Linked DNA regions of Saccharomyces cerevisiae S288C. The protein of the gene in region 1 purifies or fractionates together with the protein of each later gene. This does not show direct contact. Each region holds a gene or a part of one and is shown on either strand. Other genes may lie near its edges.

Evidence for each region.
Region 2: the proteins of MSS51 (region 1) and COX3 purify together in Saccharomyces cerevisiae (affinity purification with western blotting; 3 studies listed by BioGRID, with this or other methods). This does not show direct contact.
Region 3: the proteins of MSS51 (region 1) and COX2 purify together in Saccharomyces cerevisiae (affinity purification with western blotting; 4 studies listed by BioGRID, with this or other methods). This does not show direct contact.
Region 4: the proteins of MSS51 (region 1) and COX1 purify together in Saccharomyces cerevisiae (affinity purification with western blotting; 10 studies listed by BioGRID, with this or other methods). This does not show direct contact.

Annotation. Positions count from the first base shown.
Region 1 is NC_001144.5:550,150-553,754, reverse strand, and holds MSS51 (Mss51p), read left to right. Parts: upstream 1-1,794; coding exon 1,795-3,105; downstream 3,106-3,605. Other genes in the region: HMX1 (Hmx1p), read left to right, coding at 78-1,031; mitochondrial 37S ribosomal protein mS38 QRI5, read right to left, coding at 1,150-1,485; ubiquinone biosynthesis protein COQ9, read left to right, coding at 3,462-3,605. UniProt on the Saccharomyces cerevisiae protein: Has a dual role in the assembly of cytochrome oxidase subunit 1 (COX1). It has a regulative function on COX1 synthesis, acting as a translational activator specific for the COX1 mRNA, and it also binds to newly synthesized COX1 protein.
Region 2 is NC_001224.1:76,453-81,012, forward strand, and holds COX3 (cytochrome c oxidase subunit 3), read left to right. Parts: upstream 1-2,760; coding exon 2,761-3,570; downstream 3,571-4,560. UniProt on the Saccharomyces cerevisiae protein: Component of the cytochrome c oxidase, the last enzyme in the mitochondrial electron transport chain which drives oxidative phosphorylation.
Region 3 is NC_001224.1:71,059-75,565, reverse strand, and holds COX2 (cytochrome c oxidase subunit 2), read right to left. Parts: upstream 1,809-4,507; coding exon 1,053-1,808; downstream 1-1,052. Other genes in the region: Q0255 (maturase-like protein), read right to left, coding at 1-1,071. UniProt on the Saccharomyces cerevisiae protein: Component of the cytochrome c oxidase, the last enzyme in the mitochondrial electron transport chain which drives oxidative phosphorylation.
Region 4 is NC_001224.1:11,374-17,621, forward strand, and holds the start of COX1 (cytochrome c oxidase subunit 1), read left to right. Parts: upstream 1-2,444; coding exon 2,445-2,613; coding exon of another isoform or gene 2,614-4,949; intron 4,950-5,061; coding exon 5,062-5,097; coding exon of another isoform or gene 5,098-6,248. Other genes in the region: intron-encoded reverse transcriptase aI2, read left to right, coding at 2,445-2,613, 5,062-6,248; AI5_ALPHA (intron-encoded DNA endonuclease aI5 alpha), read left to right, coding at 2,445-2,613, 5,062-5,097; intron-encoded DNA endonuclease aI4, read left to right, coding at 2,445-2,613, 5,062-5,097; intron-encoded DNA endonuclease aI3, read left to right, coding at 2,445-2,613, 5,062-5,097; intron-encoded reverse transcriptase aI1, read left to right, coding at 2,445-4,949. UniProt on the Saccharomyces cerevisiae protein: Component of the cytochrome c oxidase, the last enzyme in the mitochondrial electron transport chain which drives oxidative phosphorylation.

The DNA.
Region 1 (3,605 bases):
GTCTAAGGAGGAGCTATTTAACAGTGCACAATATAACACAGCATATATACACACACACACATAAAATAACCGCAAAAATGGAGGACAGTAGCAATACAATCATACCCTCACCCACTGACGTGGGGGCGCTAGCAAACAGAATCAACTTTCAAACCAGAGATGCCCACAATAAAATCAATACCTTCATGGGCATAAAGATGGCCATCGCCATGAGACATGGCTTTATATACAGACAGGGTATTCTGGCGTACTATTATGTGTTCGATGCCATCGAGCAAGAGATAGATCGCCTACTGAATGACCCCGTAACGGAGGAGGAGCTGCAAACTTCGACCATTCTGAAGCAGTTTTGGCTCGAAGATTTTAGAAGATCTACGCAGATCTATAAGGACCTGAAGCTGCTATACTCAAACACGTTTAAAAGCACAGAATCATTAAACGAATTCCTGGCTACGTTCCAGAAGCCACCGCTACTACAGCAGTTTATCAATAACATCCACGAAAACATACACAAGGAGCCATGCACCATTCTTTCTTACTGTCACGTTCTGTACTTGGCGCTTTTCGCCGGCGGCAAGCTAATACGATCGAATTTGTACAGAAGACTGGGGCTCTTCCCCAACTTCGAGAAGCTATCACAGAAGGAACTGGTCAAAAAGGGCACAAACTTCTTCACCTTCAGCGATCTGGGTCCCACTGAAGAAACACGCTTGAAATGGGAATACAAGAAGAACTATGAGCTGGCCACCAGGACGGAATTGACCGAAGCACAAAAGTTGCAGATCATTAGCGTCGCAGAAGGCATTTTTGATTGGAACTTCAACATCGTTGCAGAAATTGGAGAGTTGAATCGTCGCGAGTTAATGGGCAAGTTCAGCTTCAAGTGTATTACGTACTTGTACGAAGAATGGATGTTCAACAAGGATTCTGCTACTAGAAGAGCACTCCACACGGTCATGCTGCTGGTGCTTTCTATTATCGCGATCTGGGTTCTTTACTTCTTGGTAAAGAGTTTTCTTAGCATAGTATAACGTATAAAAAAAAAAGTCTAAATACAAACATAATATATACATGAAATAATATCAAAATATGAAGAATAGGGAAGGAAAAACAGCAGAGAAAAACATGTGAGAGGTTTTTACAGCCCTATTATCTACCCTGAGATAGCTTTCTTCTTTCTGCCTTCTCCCTCTTTCTTCTTTTCCGCAGTTTGTGTTTCTTCATCTTTTTTTTCCTCTTTCTCATCACTGAATCGAGTTGCATCACTATATTTGAACCGTTTAATGGCTCACTGACTGTGCCAGTGATCCTTGTTGCCGTAGCCGTCATCATCATCATTGTACTCAGCATGCCCTCTTGCATGGGAGGCATTGTAGTGTTAATTGCTGTTTGAAAGGTTCTGTTAAAGTAGGACCCGCAACTTGGTTTCTTAACCACCGTCCTAGTAATGCCCAGCCACCCAGGTCGCAATGCCCTTCCTAGCATGTTTATCTCGTTCTGGTGTCGTGTGTGCTCGTCTTGGCTGGAACTCAACCGCCTTTCGCTCTTGATATTATATTTGGCATTCACTTAAGTGTGCAGTATGGGGAAAGGGCTCTTTTTATCATGCGCTACGAAAAAGCGGCTCGAAGAAAATAATCCAAAGGAGTCTGACAAGAGACAATAGTAGATATTTGGTCAACTACTAAGGGCGGGCCTTTGGTTGTAGTTTTTTTACACTTTATAAGCGCAGAACACTGTAGATATTGCGAAGGTGGACTTAAAGTAGTTTGGCAAACTTGTACTTCCAGAACTATGACCGTGCTATATGCTCCTTCGGGTGCTACTCAGCTATATTTCCATCTGCTAAGGAAGTCGCCACACAACAGGCTAGTTGTCTCTCACCAAACACGTCGTCACCTCATGGGGTTCGTTAGGAACGCCCTTGGATTGGATCCTCCTCCCTCTCCAGAAGATCCTACTCCGGAGAACAGATTCCATCCATGGGATCAGTCTCCCTCAGTGGACTTGCGTGAAAGGGCCGCCAAGATTAGAACGCTAGCACACTGCCCTGTTACCGGCAAAGATATTAACTACACTTGTCCTCTGTCAGGAATTCCGACTCATCACTCACGAGAGGCTTGGGAGATGGATAAAGCATATCACGATTCTAAAAAATATGAAATCCTGAAAAAAGTTAATATTTATGAGCATGACTTAAGAAGCGGTAGACCCTTCCCGGAGTTTGATTTTCCCCAACAGCAAGGCTACGACAAGGCCGTTAACCTAACAAACTGGGATTTGTTTTTCTACACAAGATCATTCTATTCCATGGATACAGAGTTCCAATTAGCCGCAGTCACAAAGATGCTAAGCTATCCAATTACGATTGGGTCTTTGCTGCACAAATTTTCCCCGTATTCATTGAACCCAAAGGGGCCTATCACCTTAGAAGGTCTAAAATCTCTGGCTGCTCTCAGGTATACTTTATATCCGTTGGAGAATAGATCTTTACCAACCACAACTAAGAACCGTGCTATGAGAATTTTCATCCTAGGTGCACGTGCTGAAGCTCAATTGCCGGGCCACGTTTGGAAACAGCTCCAGTTTCTTTTCCCAGAGCAGAGTTTCGAAATACATTTCATTGGACCCGAATGCCTGTATAAAAGGGATAAACAGGAGTACGTCAAGTCTACTACGCCGGTAGTACAAAGAGTAGACGAGACTCTGAAATTCATTTATCGTACAAACTTTTTCGAAGTATTCCATGAGGCTCAAGATTTTTTCCCATACGATCCATACATGGATGTCTTTTTTACTTTCCATCCAGGCTACGCATCTCCAGAATCTCACGGTTCATGGATGGGTGAAACTATGAAGGCATTACTGGAAACAAAATGTGCTATCTTCACAACGGGTTTCAATAAGAAAGACCTAACGGACGACATAAATCTTGTCAAATCCAAATACGGTAAGGAAATGGATGTCTTAATGGAGCCCGTCAGAAACGTATTTGGAAGTACGAAGTGGGAATTAAATGACATGAATCCTCAAGAAGTTTATCAATTTAACATGTATATTGCCGGGTTCAGAGGTAAAAGGTACCATACAATCAAGAGACAATGATTATCGGGAGGCCATGCCCAACTTTCATCTTATAAATATATGCGTTTTCTACCGTTATTATAATTTTTTTCTTATGTATGATATCTCAATATCTGTAAATACAAAAATACTAACCCCACCCCCTTCGTAATGGTTGACCTAATAGTCCATTAACTAATCCATTCACCTATACAGTAGTATACTGACTACAGTTGCCATGACATATCCTTTCCTTTTCGGACTATATTAGGCGGAAGAAAAATAGCAATAACAATAGTAAGAAACAATAATACGGGGTTTTTTTTTTTTTGGGCCTACATAAGGTACTTCACCCCAATTTGGAAAGAGATAACAGAGTCTTTACCACATTATAAATCATGCTTTGTCGCAATACTGCCAGAACGGGCTGTAAATTCTTTCGTTTATATCATTCGAACCCTATCGAACATGTTAAACCAATTCATATTAAACCTTTAACTTATGGAAAAGAATCACCCCAGTATAAAGTATTGTCACTAGCT
Region 2 (4,560 bases), on another chromosome or scaffold:
ATAATATAATTAAATATATTATAAATTTAATAATTTAATAAAAATATTCTTTTTATAATTATTATAATAATTAAATAAATAATAATAATAAGAATAATTAATGTATAATTTTTTTATAAATATTATATATTTTTATATTAATAGTTCCGGGGCCCGGCCACGGGAGCCGGAACCCCGAAAGGAGAAATATTAATAAAATAAAATAAAATTATAATATAATTAAATTATAAGAATTATATTTACTCCTTTTATAATTTATATTTATAATATAATATAATATAAAATAAATATAATATAATATAAAATAAATATAATGTAATAGGTATTCACTCCTCTTTGGGGTTCCGATCCCCCATACGGATACGGATACGGATACGAATACGGATACGGATACGGATACGGGGGGCCGTCCCCCAGAACTTAATATTATATCTTAAATAATTAATATAAATATAATATATTATTTAATAATAATAATAAATAAATAAATAAATAAATAAATAAATTAAATAAATAATAATATTATTATAATTACTTTTTAATAAATAATATTAATATAATATTATATTAGTATTATAAATAGACTTTTTATTATTTTATATATAATATAGTCCGGCCCGCCCCCGCGGGGCGGACCCCGAAGGAGTAATATATTATATAATTATTATTTTTAATTATAAATAAAATATAATTATTATTTATTATATAATTTATATAAATATATATATATATTTATTATATATATAAATATAAATATAAATATAATAATTAATAATATTAAAGTTTTATATATATTAATATATTATAAAAGGTTTATATATATATATAATAAGATAAGTAATAAATTAATTAATTAATAATATAAAAATATATATTATATATTATGTTTTATTTATATATATATATATATTATGTATTATTATATAAATATATATATATATTATATTATAAGTAATAATAAGTATTATATTATATATAGCTTTTATAGCTTAGTGGTAAAGCGATAAATTGAAGATTTATTTACATGTAGTTCGATTCTCATTAAGGGCAATAATAATAATATATTAATTAATAATTAATTTATAATAAATATATTATAATAATTAATATATATATATATAATATATTTAATACAAAGAAAATATATATTATATCTCTTATTTATTTATTTATTAATATTTTAATAAATATAATATTATAAAAAAAAGTTTATATATTTAGTTCCGGGGCCCGGCCACGGGAGCCGGAACCCCGGTAGGAGAAATATAAATATAAATATAAATATAATATAAGTTTGGTATTCATTTAATTATATTATTTAATTAAAAATATTCTAAATAAGAATAAATATCAATAAAGGAGTTATAAATATATATATATATTAATATATATATAAAAATATATATTATTATTAGTTCCCGCTTTGCGGGAACCCCGTAAGGAGTGAGGGACCCCATGGGAACCGAACCCCTATTTAAGAAGGAGTTTTATTATAATAAAATTTATATATATTTAATATATAATTATAAAAATATTATATAATAAATAATAAATAATTATTAATAATAAATAAATATAATAATAATATTATAATAAATTTATAAATGATTATAATAAATTTATATTAATTTTTTATTTTGTAAATACTAAGATTTGAACTTAGATAATATGCACCTAAAAACATACATTTTACCATTAAATTATATTTACCTTATTAATTATATAAAATTTATTAAATATATAATATATTAATTATATAAAAATTATTAAATAAATATATAATATATTATATATAATTTATAATATATATATTATAAATATTATTATATATAAAATATAATATACTACTTATAAAAATATATATATATATATAAATATATATATAAATAAATATTTTATATATTAAATTAAATAATTATTAATAAATTTAATTATAAAGTATAATTTTCAATAGGAATATTTATAAGATTATAATAATTATATGAATTATTATAATTATATATATATAAATAAATAAAATAATAATTATAATAATTAATAAGAGTTTTGGATATATATCTGTGGAGTATATATTTTATAAAGGAGATTAGCTTAATTGGTATAGCATTCGTTTTACACACGAAAGATTATAGGTTCGAACCCTATATTTCCTAAATCTAGATATAATATTATATCTATCTTAATATAATAATATTTATTTATTAAATAAAAAAAAAATAAATAATATTAATTAATATAAGATTCTTTTTTAATTATAATAATAAATAAATAAAAAGAAGATATTATCAATGATTTATATTAATAATAAATATAAATAATAAAAAATATATATAATATAATATAATAAATATATTTCCTTTAATATTAATAAATTAATAATAATAATAATAATAATAATAAAATATTTAAATAAATTATATTCAATACAAATTAATTATTTATATTATTAATAATTGAATAAATAATCCGGTCGAAAGAGATATTAATTCGATTATATTATTTATTTAATTATATTTAATTTAAATATATAAATTAATATATATATATTGAATTATATATAAATTTATTTTATAATTTTATAAATAATATATTATTATAAATATTTAATATAATTTATATTATTATTAAATAAAAGATTTATTAAATTAATATTATTATTTAATTTTATTATATAGTTTAAGGGATAATATTTTATTAATATTTTTTTTATTTATTTATTTAATTATATTATATATATAATATATATATAACAATAAATTTATGACACATTTAGAAAGAAGTAGACATCAACAACATCCATTTCATATGGTTATGCCTTCACCATGACCTATTGTAGTATCATTTGCATTATTATCATTAGCATTATCACTAGCATTAACAATGCATGGTTATATTGGTAATATGAATATGGTATATTTAGCATTATTTGTATTATTAACAAGTTCTATTTTATGATTTAGAGATATTGTAGCTGAAGCTACATATTTAGGTGATCATACTATAGCAGTAAGAAAAGGTATTAATTTAGGTTTCTTAATGTTTGTATTATCTGAAGTATTAATCTTTGCTGGTTTATTCTGAGCTTATTTCCATTCAGCTATGAGTCCTGATGTACTATTAGGTGCATGTTGACCACCCGTAGGTATTGAAGCTGTACAACCTACCGAATTACCTTTATTAAATACTATTATCTTATTATCTTCTGGTGCTACTGTAACTTATAGTCATCATGCCTTAATCGCAGGTAATAGAAATAAAGCCTTATCAGGTTTATTAATTACATTCTGATTAATTGTTATTTTTGTTACTTGTCAATATATTGAATATACTAATGCTGCATTCACTATCTCTGATGGTGTTTATGGTTCAGTATTCTATGCTGGTACAGGATTACATTTCTTACATATGGTAATGTTAGCAGCTATGTTAGGTGTTAATTATTGAAGAATGAGAAATTATCATTTAACAGCTGGACATCATGTTGGATATGAAACAACTATTATTTATCTACATGTTTTAGATGTTATCTGATTATTTTTATACGTAGTCTTCTACTGATGAGGAGTCTAAGGCTATAGAATTATATATCTAAATGATTAATATATATATTATTAATAATTAACAATAATTAATATATTATAATTTATATATATATATTTTATATTATTATAATAATATTCTTACAAATATAATTATTATATATTATTCCTTCAAAACTCCTAACGGGGTTCCCGCGAAGCGGGAACTAATAATAATATAATCATTATACTCTTTTTTCATTTACCTTTTATAAAGATAATTAATAAATTTATTTAATATTTATAAAAAAAAAAATATAATATTAATATAATATAATATAATAATGTAATTATTTATATTTTTATATTCCTTCGAGGTCACCGCCTCACCTCCAGCGGGACTTTTTTAATATGATATAATATAATATAAATATTATTAATTTAACTAATATATAAATTCATATATATATATATATTATTAATATTATTTTATAAAAAATATTTTTTATTTGATTATTATTAAATATTATATAGTTCCGGGGCCCGGCCACGGGAGCCGGAACCCCGAAAGGAGAAATATTAATATATTATAAATATACTATTTATGTAATTATTTTTTGAAGTGAGCACCTATTTTATATATATTTTATATATATTTTATTATATTTTATTAAAAATAGGTGTGAACCTCCATGAGAGAGGAATGAATACCTATTTTATAAAGTATATTTTATATTCTATATATTATAAATATGAACCAAAAAAAGGAGTTTAAAATTTAATTAAATTTAATTAATTGAATTTCTTTATTATTATTATCATAATTATTAAACCCTTTATTAATATAATAATATATTATTTATTATCAAAATACCTACCCTTTTTATAATTTATATCTTTAATAATATAATTAAATATAAAATGTTTATTAAATATTATATAAAAATAAAAATAAAAATATATATATATATATAAATGATAAATAATAAGGAATTCACACTTATATAAATTTAAATATAAAGTCCCAAAAGAAGTATTCATT
Region 3 (4,507 bases), on another chromosome or scaffold:
TAATAAATTAGAACCTTTAAGTGTATTATGTAAACCTTTTATATAGATTTCTATAAGTGTTTTTCATAATTGGAAATCAATTTCTTTACGACTATATCATTTTAATGAATATAATTTAGGTAAAATAACATAATATAAAAAATCTATTCTATTAAATTCTAATTTAATAACTCCATTTTTATCAGGTTTAGTTAATTTAATAGATGAATCTCAATCTTTTAATAATTTATTTTTAATTAATAATGGTGTATTATCAATTGGTTTTCAATTATTTAATACATAAGATTTAATAGCTTTTAATGTATTAATACTACGTTTATGTTGTGAAACATTAAAACCACAAATATTACGTTTTGGAGATAGATCAAATGAACCTTCAGCTTCAATAAAACCTAAAATTCAATAATCATTTATTTTATCATATGGAATTTTTAAATTAGGTATAACTTCATAATTATTAATTGTATTTTTAATATTTAATAAATCTTTATTATTATAAGATATACCATTTAAATTATTAATTATAGCTATTTTTCATTTATAATAACTATAATATTTAATTGTTAAACAAGGATACTTATCAAAAATAGTTACAATATTAGAATATAACCATTTCTTTTGTGAATTTACTAATATAATTGTTTTAAGTAGTTCTTCAAAATTAGAAGGTATATTTAATATATTTCTAATCTTTTCTAAACATGCTTTATCATCAATATGTATTCTAAAACCATAAAAAAATCTTAAATATTTTTTATCATTTAATTTAATATAAAAACTACCATCTCCATCTGTAAATCCTACTAATCATTTATAAAAATTATCTATTTCTAAATTATTCTTATTATTATTTTTATTATCTTTTTGAACAATAATTAATTTATTATTTAAAGAAGTATGATAACCTCTTTTAATAATATTTATATTTTTAATATAAGGTGATTGAATAGAATATAAATCTATATCTTTATTATATTTAAGAATATTATTATAATTATTATTATTATTATTATTTTTAATAATTAAAAATATTAATAATAAGTAAATATTAATTATTGTTCATTTAATCATTCCAAAAATTTAGGTAATGATACTGCTTCGATCTTAATTGGCATATTTGCATGACCTGTCCCACACAACTCAGAACATGCTCCATAGAAGACACCTTCTCTTTGAATTAAAGCAGAAACTTGATTTAATCTACCAGGAGTAGCATCAACTTTAATACCTAAACTTGGAATAGCAAAATCATGAATAACATCAGCAGCTGTTACAACGAATCTAATATGTGTATCTACAGGTACAACTATAGAAGTATCAGTATCTAATAATCTTAATTGACCTTCTTCTAATAATTCATCAGGAATAACATATGATTCAAATTCAACAGTTTCACCACTATCATTAATAAAATCTGAATATTCATATTTTCAATATCATTGATATCCAATAGCTTTAATAGTTATAGCTGGTGAAATAACTTCATCACATAAATATAATAAAATAAATGAAGGAAAAGCAATAATTAATAAAATTACAGCTGGAAAAATTGTTCAAATAACTTCAATAGTTTGTCCATGTTTAATATATTTATATGCAATAGGATTTTTTGAATATGTTATAACAATTGTATATAACATTCAAGATACTAAACCTAAAATAACTAATAAATAAAACATAATATTATCATGTAATTCTAAAATACCTTCTTGATTTGGTGTTGCTGAATCCTGAAAATAACATGCATAAGGTGTTGGTACATCATTCATAATGAATGTTGTTAATTGTAATCTTAATAAATCTAACATTTTAATAAATCTTAACCTTTAGACTCTTTTGTCTATTTATAATATGTTAATACTACTTTTAATTAAAATTTATTTATAATTTATTATTATATATTATAAATTAAAATAAAAAATATTATATTATATTATCAACCCCACCTTTTTTTATTAAAAATAATTAAAATTATATATTATTTTTATAAATAATATATATAATATTATTAATCATATAAATATATATTTTATTAAAAAAAAAAAAATACTAAAACTCCTTCGGTCCTCCTCCCGTTAGGGAGGGGTCCCTCACTCCTTACGGGATTCCCGCTTCCCAAAAACTAATAATATTCATATCATATATATTAATATTTATTAAAATATATAATATTTAGATTATATATAATATATATAATTTTTATTATTATAATATATTAGTGATTACCTTATTTATAAAGGTATGAAGCAAGGAGTTATTATTTATTATTATTATTATTATTATTATTATTAATATAATATATATATAATATATTATTAATTTTTATTTATACTCCTTCGGGGTCCCCGCCGGGGCGGGGACTTATATTTATATTATTAATATAATATATATTTAAAAATAAAATAGTCCGCCCCGCGGAGGGGGGCGGGACCCCGAAGGAGTCCGCCCCCCTTTTTATTTTATTTTATTTAATTTTAAAGAAGAAGAATTATTTATATTTATTTATTTATTTATCTCCTTCGGGGTTCCGGCTCCCGTGGCCGGCCCCCGGAACTGTAATAATATATTAATTTAATTAATATTTTTTATAGATAAATATACATTATATGTTTTTATTAATTAATTATTTATTTATTTATTTATAATATATATTTAAATATTATATTATATATATATATTTAAAAGATAAATTATATTTATAATTATTTAATGAACATCTATTTAATAATAATAAAATAGTCCGGCCCGCCCCCGCGGGGCGGACCCCGAAGGAGTCCGGCCGAAGGAGATGTGAATCCTGCTAGGAGGAGTAATTATTTATTAATATTATTTTAATATATATAAATATTATAATCATTATTACTTGTAGAAGGAATTGAACCTTACATTATTTATTTATGAGACAAATGTTTTAACCAATTAAACTATACAAGCTCCTTAATTATAATTATTATTATAATTAATACAATATTTACTCTTTATTATCAATATTTATACCTTATTTTATAAATATAAATAAAAGATATTAATTATTAAAATATTAATAAATATATTCTTTAATAATTTATAATTATAATATAATAATTATAATAATAATAATTTTTAATAAAAAATAAAATAATTATAAAATTATAATCTTATTATATAAAATATATAATATATTTATAATTATTAATAAAAAAGATAATTATATAATTAAAATTAATATATATATATATATATATATAAAGGTATTATTAATTAATTAAAAATATTAATATATTTGTTAATTAAATAAATAAATAAATATAAATATTATCTAATTATAAATTTATTCTTAGTAATTAATATATATATAATATTATATAATATAATATATATAATATAGGTGTTAGTTTAATAATATTCTTTATTATATATAAATATAAATAAGATATCTTATACTATATATTATAATAAATTATAAATAATTAAACATAATAAATATAATTTATATATACATATTTATTTTTTATTAATTTATAACATATTAATAAAAATAATAAATATATAATTTCTTTAGAATACTTTTTATTCTCCTTCCGGAATTAATAAAATAAAATAATATAATATAATATAAAATATAGATACTTATTTAATTTATTAATTAATATATATATAAATATATTATTATATATAATATAAATAAATATATAATATAATATAATATTAATAATTATTATTATATACCTTTTTATAAATAATTTAAATATTTATAAAAATATTTTAATAATATTTATAATATAAAATTTATCATTTTATAAAAATTATATATATATATATAATATATAAAATAGTTTCTTCTTACATAAAATATAATAAAAATTATAAAATATATTAAATTATTAATAATTATATATTTAATGAATAATCTTAAATTAATAAATATCAATAAATATATCAATAAATATAATATAATATAATATAATAAAATTATTTATTATTATTTATTTATTATTATTATTAATACATACTTTTTATATTATTTTCTTTAATATATATATATATATGATATATAAATTAAAATATATATATATTATTATCGTCCTTAATAGGAATTGAACCCATCTATTCTCATTAACAGTGAGATGCTTTAACCGATAAGCTATAAGGACATATTATATAAAAGAATAAATATATATTAATTAAATAAATAAAAACCCTTATTTTATATATTTTATTAGTTCCGGAAGGAGAATAAATAAATAAATATATAAATATATAGAAATATAACTCTATAATTAAATTTATTAAATACAGATAATAATTATTTTATTATTAATTTTATTAATAGTTCCGGGGCCCGGCCACGGGAGCCGGAACCCCGAAAGGAGAAATATACATTTTAGAATTATTTATATATTTTTTTTATAAAAGTATATATATATATTATAAAGATAATATAAATTATTATTTATTTATTAATTAATTAATTATAATTATAATTATAATTATTATTATTTATTTATTTATTTATATATATAAATAT
Region 4 (6,248 bases), on another chromosome or scaffold:
ATATCTTCTTTAAATTAAAATATAATTATTATTTATATTATAATTATTTATGAAATATTATTATTAAAATAAAAAAGAGGTTTAGACTATATATTTATTATTTATAAACTTATTATATTATTTATTATTAATAGTTCCGGGGCCCGGCCACGGGAGCCGGAACCCCGAAAGGAGAAATAAATAAAATAAAAAATAATAAATATTAATATTATTAAATATTATTTATAATAAATATTAATATTATTAAATATTATTCATATTAATAAATTTTATTATTATTTGTAATATATTAAATATTAATAATATATATATTATTTATTATAATGAAAACCTATCCTATATTATCCTATCATATAATATCATATCATATTATATTATATCTTATTATATGATATATAAAGTATTCACTCTATATGAGGTTATGATTATTATATAAATCTTATTTTATTTTTATTTTTATTTGGACTAATAATAATTATAATAATAATTATTGATATGTTCTAATATTAATAAATACATATTTATATTATAATATAAATATTCATTTCTTACTAATTAATAAAAAGTTTTTATATTCATTATAATATAAATATATAAATATATATAAATATTTTAATAATTATAATTATATTAAGATATTATAAATATATATTTATTTTTTTTTATAAAATAAATAAATAAATAAATAATTAATATTTTTATATTATAACTTATTTTTATAATAATAATAAGTATTTTATTTTTTATTATATTATTATTTATATAATTATATATATATTAATTTCAATTTAATTAATTAATTAATTGGTATTTGGCATATAATATCAATTAATTGTAATTCTTATAAGAATTAATTAATTAATATGCTTTTTATATAATTTATACTTTTATATTTCTCCTTCCGGGGTTCCGGCTCCCGTGGCCGGGCCCCGGAACTATTATTATTATTTTTATTTATTTATTATTAAAATATAATAATAAATAGTCCGGCCCGCCCCGCGGGGCGGACGCCGGAGGAGAATTATATTTTTATATAATAATTTATATTTCTATATATATATATATATATTATATATAAATATTATTATATATATTTTTATATATATTATAATTATATTCATTAATATTTTATTATAGTGGTGGGGTCCCAATTATTATTTTCAATAATAATTTATCATGGGACCCGGATATCTTCTTGTTTTTATTTATTATTTTATTAAATTTATTTTAATTATTTATTTATAATTTATATTATACAATTTATTATTTCGTTAATACCTTTATTTATATTATATAATATATTATATTATTATAATATATTTATTGATTATATTAATACATTTAACTAATGTGTGCTCTATATTTATTGAATAGTTTGGTTCTTATCACCCACCCCCTCCCCCTATTACGTCTCCGAGGTCCCGGTTTCGTAAGAAACCGGGACTTATATATTTAATACTAAAAATATAACTACATTACTTTTTTAATATATATAACAATATATATATATATATATATTAATTATATAAAATATAATACTCTATATTAAATATTATTTTTATCAATATTTATTTATATATATAATAATAATAATAATAATCAATATTAATTATTTATATATATAAGATTAATATTATTTAATATATTATGAATAATTTAATTAATAAATCTTTAAATATTATCATAAAAATATAAATTAAATAATTTCTTATTTATAATAAAGAATAATAATATATATAAATATAATAAAGAATGTAAATAATATATATATAATATAATATAATATAAAAAATATATATATATATAAATATATATATAATATATAGATAATAATATTTTTATATAATTTATTTTATTATTAAGTAATAAATAATAAAAAAATCAATATATTAAATAATATATTTATATTAGTTCGGTTTAGTTGGTATTTTGTAATGAGTAAAAAGTAATATATAATATTAAATAATAAGTATTGATATAAGTAATAGATATAATAATAATATTATTAATATTTTATATAAATAATATTAATAATATAGATTATGAAAGAGAGTATTAATATCATTAAATATATATATATGTTATATAATTTAAATGATTTTAATATATATATATATATTATATTATAGATTATGATACATTTATATAAATAATATATATATAAAAATTAATTATACTATTACTTTATAATATAATAATATTTATTTATAAAGATATAAAAGAATTGTTTAAAGTTATAACTAAAATATTATATAGTATTCATTAATAATTAATATTATAAATTCAACTATTGTTATATTTATAAATAGAATAATATATTATTATCCTTTAAGATATAACAATAATTATTTAAATTAAATTAAATTAAATTTAATTAATTTTTTTTTTTAATGAATATAATAATAATAATATTATTAAAATTAATATATAAAAAAAAAGTAAAAATGGTACAAAGATGATTATATTCAACAAATGCAAAAGATATTGCAGTATTATATTTTATGTTAGCTATTTTTAGTGGTATGGCAGGAACAGCAATGTCTTTAATCATTAGATTAGAATTAGCTGCACCTGGTTCACAATATTTACATGGTAATTCACAATTATTTAATGGTGCGCCTCTCAGTGCGTATATTTCGTTGATGCGTCTAGCATTAGTATTATGAATCATCAATAGATACTTAAAACATATGACTAACTCAGTAGGGGCTAACTTTACGGGGACAATAGCATGTCATAAAACACCTATGATTAGTGTAGGTGGAGTTAAGTGTTACATGGTTAGGTTAACGAACTTCTTACAAGTCTTTATCAGGATTACAATTTCCTCTTATCATTTGGATATAGTAAAACAAGTTTGATTATTTTACGTTGAGGTAATCAGATTATGATTCATTGTTTTAGATAGCACAGGCAGTGTGAAAAAGATGAAGGACCTAAATAACACAAAAGGAAATACGAAAAGTGAGGGATCAACTGAAAGAGGAAACTCTGGAGTTGACAGAGGTATAGTAGTACCGAATACTCAAATAAAAATGAGATTTTTAAATCAAGTTAGATACTATTCAGTAAATAATAATTTAAAAATAGGGAAGGATACCAATATTGAGTTATCAAAAGATACAAGTACTTCGGACTTGTTAGAATTTGAGAAATTAGTAATAGATAATATAAATGAGGAAAATATAAATAATAATTTATTAAGTATTATAAAAAACGTAGATATATTAATATTAGCATATAATAGAATTAAGAGTAAACCTGGTAATATAACTCCAGGTACAACATTAGAAACATTAGATGGTATAAATATAATATATTTAAATAAATTATCAAATGAATTAGGAACAGGTAAATTCAAATTTAAACCCATGAGAATAGTTAATATTCCTAAACCTAAAGGTGGTATAAGACCTTTAAGTGTAGGTAATCCAAGAGATAAAATTGTACAAGAAGTTATAAGAATAATTTTAGATACAATTTTTGATAAAAAGATATCAACACATTCACATGGTTTTAGAAAGAATATAAGTTGTCAAACAGCAATTTGAGAAGTTAGAAATATATTTGGTGGAAGTAATTGATTTATTGAAGTAGACTTAAAAAAATGTTTTGATACAATTTCTCATGATTTAATTATTAAAGAATTAAAAAGATATATTTCAGATAAAGGTTTTATTGATTTAGTATATAAATTATTAAGAGCTGGTTATATTGATGAGAAAGGAACTTATCATAAACCTATATTAGGTTTACCTCAAGGATCATTAATTAGTCCTATCTTATGTAATATTGTAATAACATTGGTAGATAATTGATTAGAAGATTATATTAATTTATATAATAAAGGTAAAGTTAAAAAACAACATCCTACATATAAAAAATTATCAAGAATAATTGCAAAAGCTAAAATATTTTCGACAAGATTAAAATTACATAAAGAAAGAGCTAAAGGCCCACTATTTATTTATAATGATCCTAATTTCAAGAGAATAAAATACGTTAGATATGCAGATGATATTTTAATTGGGGTATTAGGTTCAAAAAATGATTGTAAAATAATCAAAAGAGATTTAAACAATTTTTTAAATTCATTAGGTTTAACTATAAATGAAGAAAAAACTTTAATTACTTGTGCAACTGAACTACCAGCAAGATTTTTAGGTTATAATATTTCAATTACACCTTTAAAAAGAATACCTACAGTTACTAAACTAATTAGAGGTAAACTTATTAGAAGTAGAAATACAACTAGACCTATTATTAATGCACCAATTAGAGATATTATCAATAAATTAGCTACTAATGGATATTGTAAGCATAATAAAAATGGTAGAATAGGAGTGCCTACAAGAGTAGGTAGATGACTATATGAAGAACCTAGAACAATTATTAATAATTATAAAGCGTTAGGTAGAGGTATCTTAAATTATTATAAATTAGCTACTAATTATAAAAGATTAAGAGAAAGAATCTATTACGTATTATATTATTCATGTGTATTAACTTTAGCTAGTAAATATAGATTAAAAACAATAAGTAAAACTATTAAAAAATTTGGTTATAATTTAAATATTATTGAAAATGATAAATTAATTGCCAATTTTCCAAGAAATACTTTTGATAATATCAAAAAAATTGAAAATCATGGTATATTTATATATATATCAGAAGCTAAAGTAACTGATCCTTTTGAATATATCGATTCAATTAAATATATATTACCTACAGCTAAAGCTAATTTTAATAAACCTTGTAGTATTTGTAATTCAACTATTGATGTAGAAATACATCATGTTAAACAATTACATAGAGGTATATTAAAAGCACTTAAAGATTATATTCTAGGTAGAATAATTACCATAAACAGAAAACAAATTCCATTATGTAAACAATGTCATATTAAAACACATAAAAATAAATTTAAAAATATAGGACCTGGTATATAAAATCTATTATTAATGATACTCAATATGGAAAGCCGTATGATGGGAAACTATCACGTACGGTTTGGGAAAGGCTCTTTAACACGTGGCAACATAGGTTAATTTGCTATTTCATTTTTAGTAGTTGGTCATGCTGTATTAATGATTTTCTGTGCGCCGTTTCGCTTAATTTATCACTGTATTGAAGTGTTAATTGATAAACATATCTCTGTTTATTCAATTAATGAAAACTTTACCGTATCATTTTGGTTCTGATTATTAGTAGTAACATACATAGTATTTAGATACGTAAACCATATGGCTTACCCAGTTGGGGCCAACTCAACGGGGACAATAGCATGCCATAAAAGCGCTGGAGTAAAACAGCCAGCGCAAGGTAAGAACTGTCCGATGGCTAGGTTAACGAATTCCTGTAAAGAATGTTTAGGGTTCTCATTAACTCCTTCCCACTTGGGGATTGTGATTCATGCTTATGTATTGGAAGAAGAGGTACACGAGTTAACCAAAAATGAATCATTAGCTTTAAGTAAAAGTTGACATTTGGAGGGCTGTACGAGTTCAAATGGAAAATTAAGAAATACGGGATTGTCCGAAAGGGGAAACCCTGGGGATAACGGAGTCTTCATAGTACCCAAATTTAATTTAAATAAAGTGAGATACTTTAGTACTTTATCTAAATTAAATGCAAGGAAGGAAGACAGTTTAGCGTATTTAACAAAGATTAATACTACGGATTTTTCCGAGTTAAATAAATTAATAGAAAATAATCATAATAAACTTGAAACCATTAATACTAGAATTTTAAAATTAATGTCAGATATTAGAATGTTATTAATTGCTTATAATAAAATTAAAAGTAAGAAAGGTAATATATCTAAAGGTTCTAATAATATTACCTTAGATGGGATTAATATTTCATATTTAAATAAATTATCTAAAGATATTAACACTAATATGTTTAAATTTTCTCCGGTTAGAAGAGTTGAAATTCCTAAAACATCTGGAGGATTTAGACCTTTAAGTGTTGGAAATCCTAGAGAAAAAATTGTACAAGAAAGTATGAGAATAATATTAGAAATTATCTATAATAATAGTTTCTCTTATTATTCTCATGGATTTAGACCTAACTTATCTTGTTTAACAGCTATTATTCAATGTAAAAATTATATGCAATACTGTAATTGATTTATTAAAGTAGATTTAAATAAATGCTTTGATACAATTCCACATAATATGTTAATTAATGTATTAAATGAGAGAATCAAAGATAAAGGTTTCATAGACTTATTATATAAATTATTA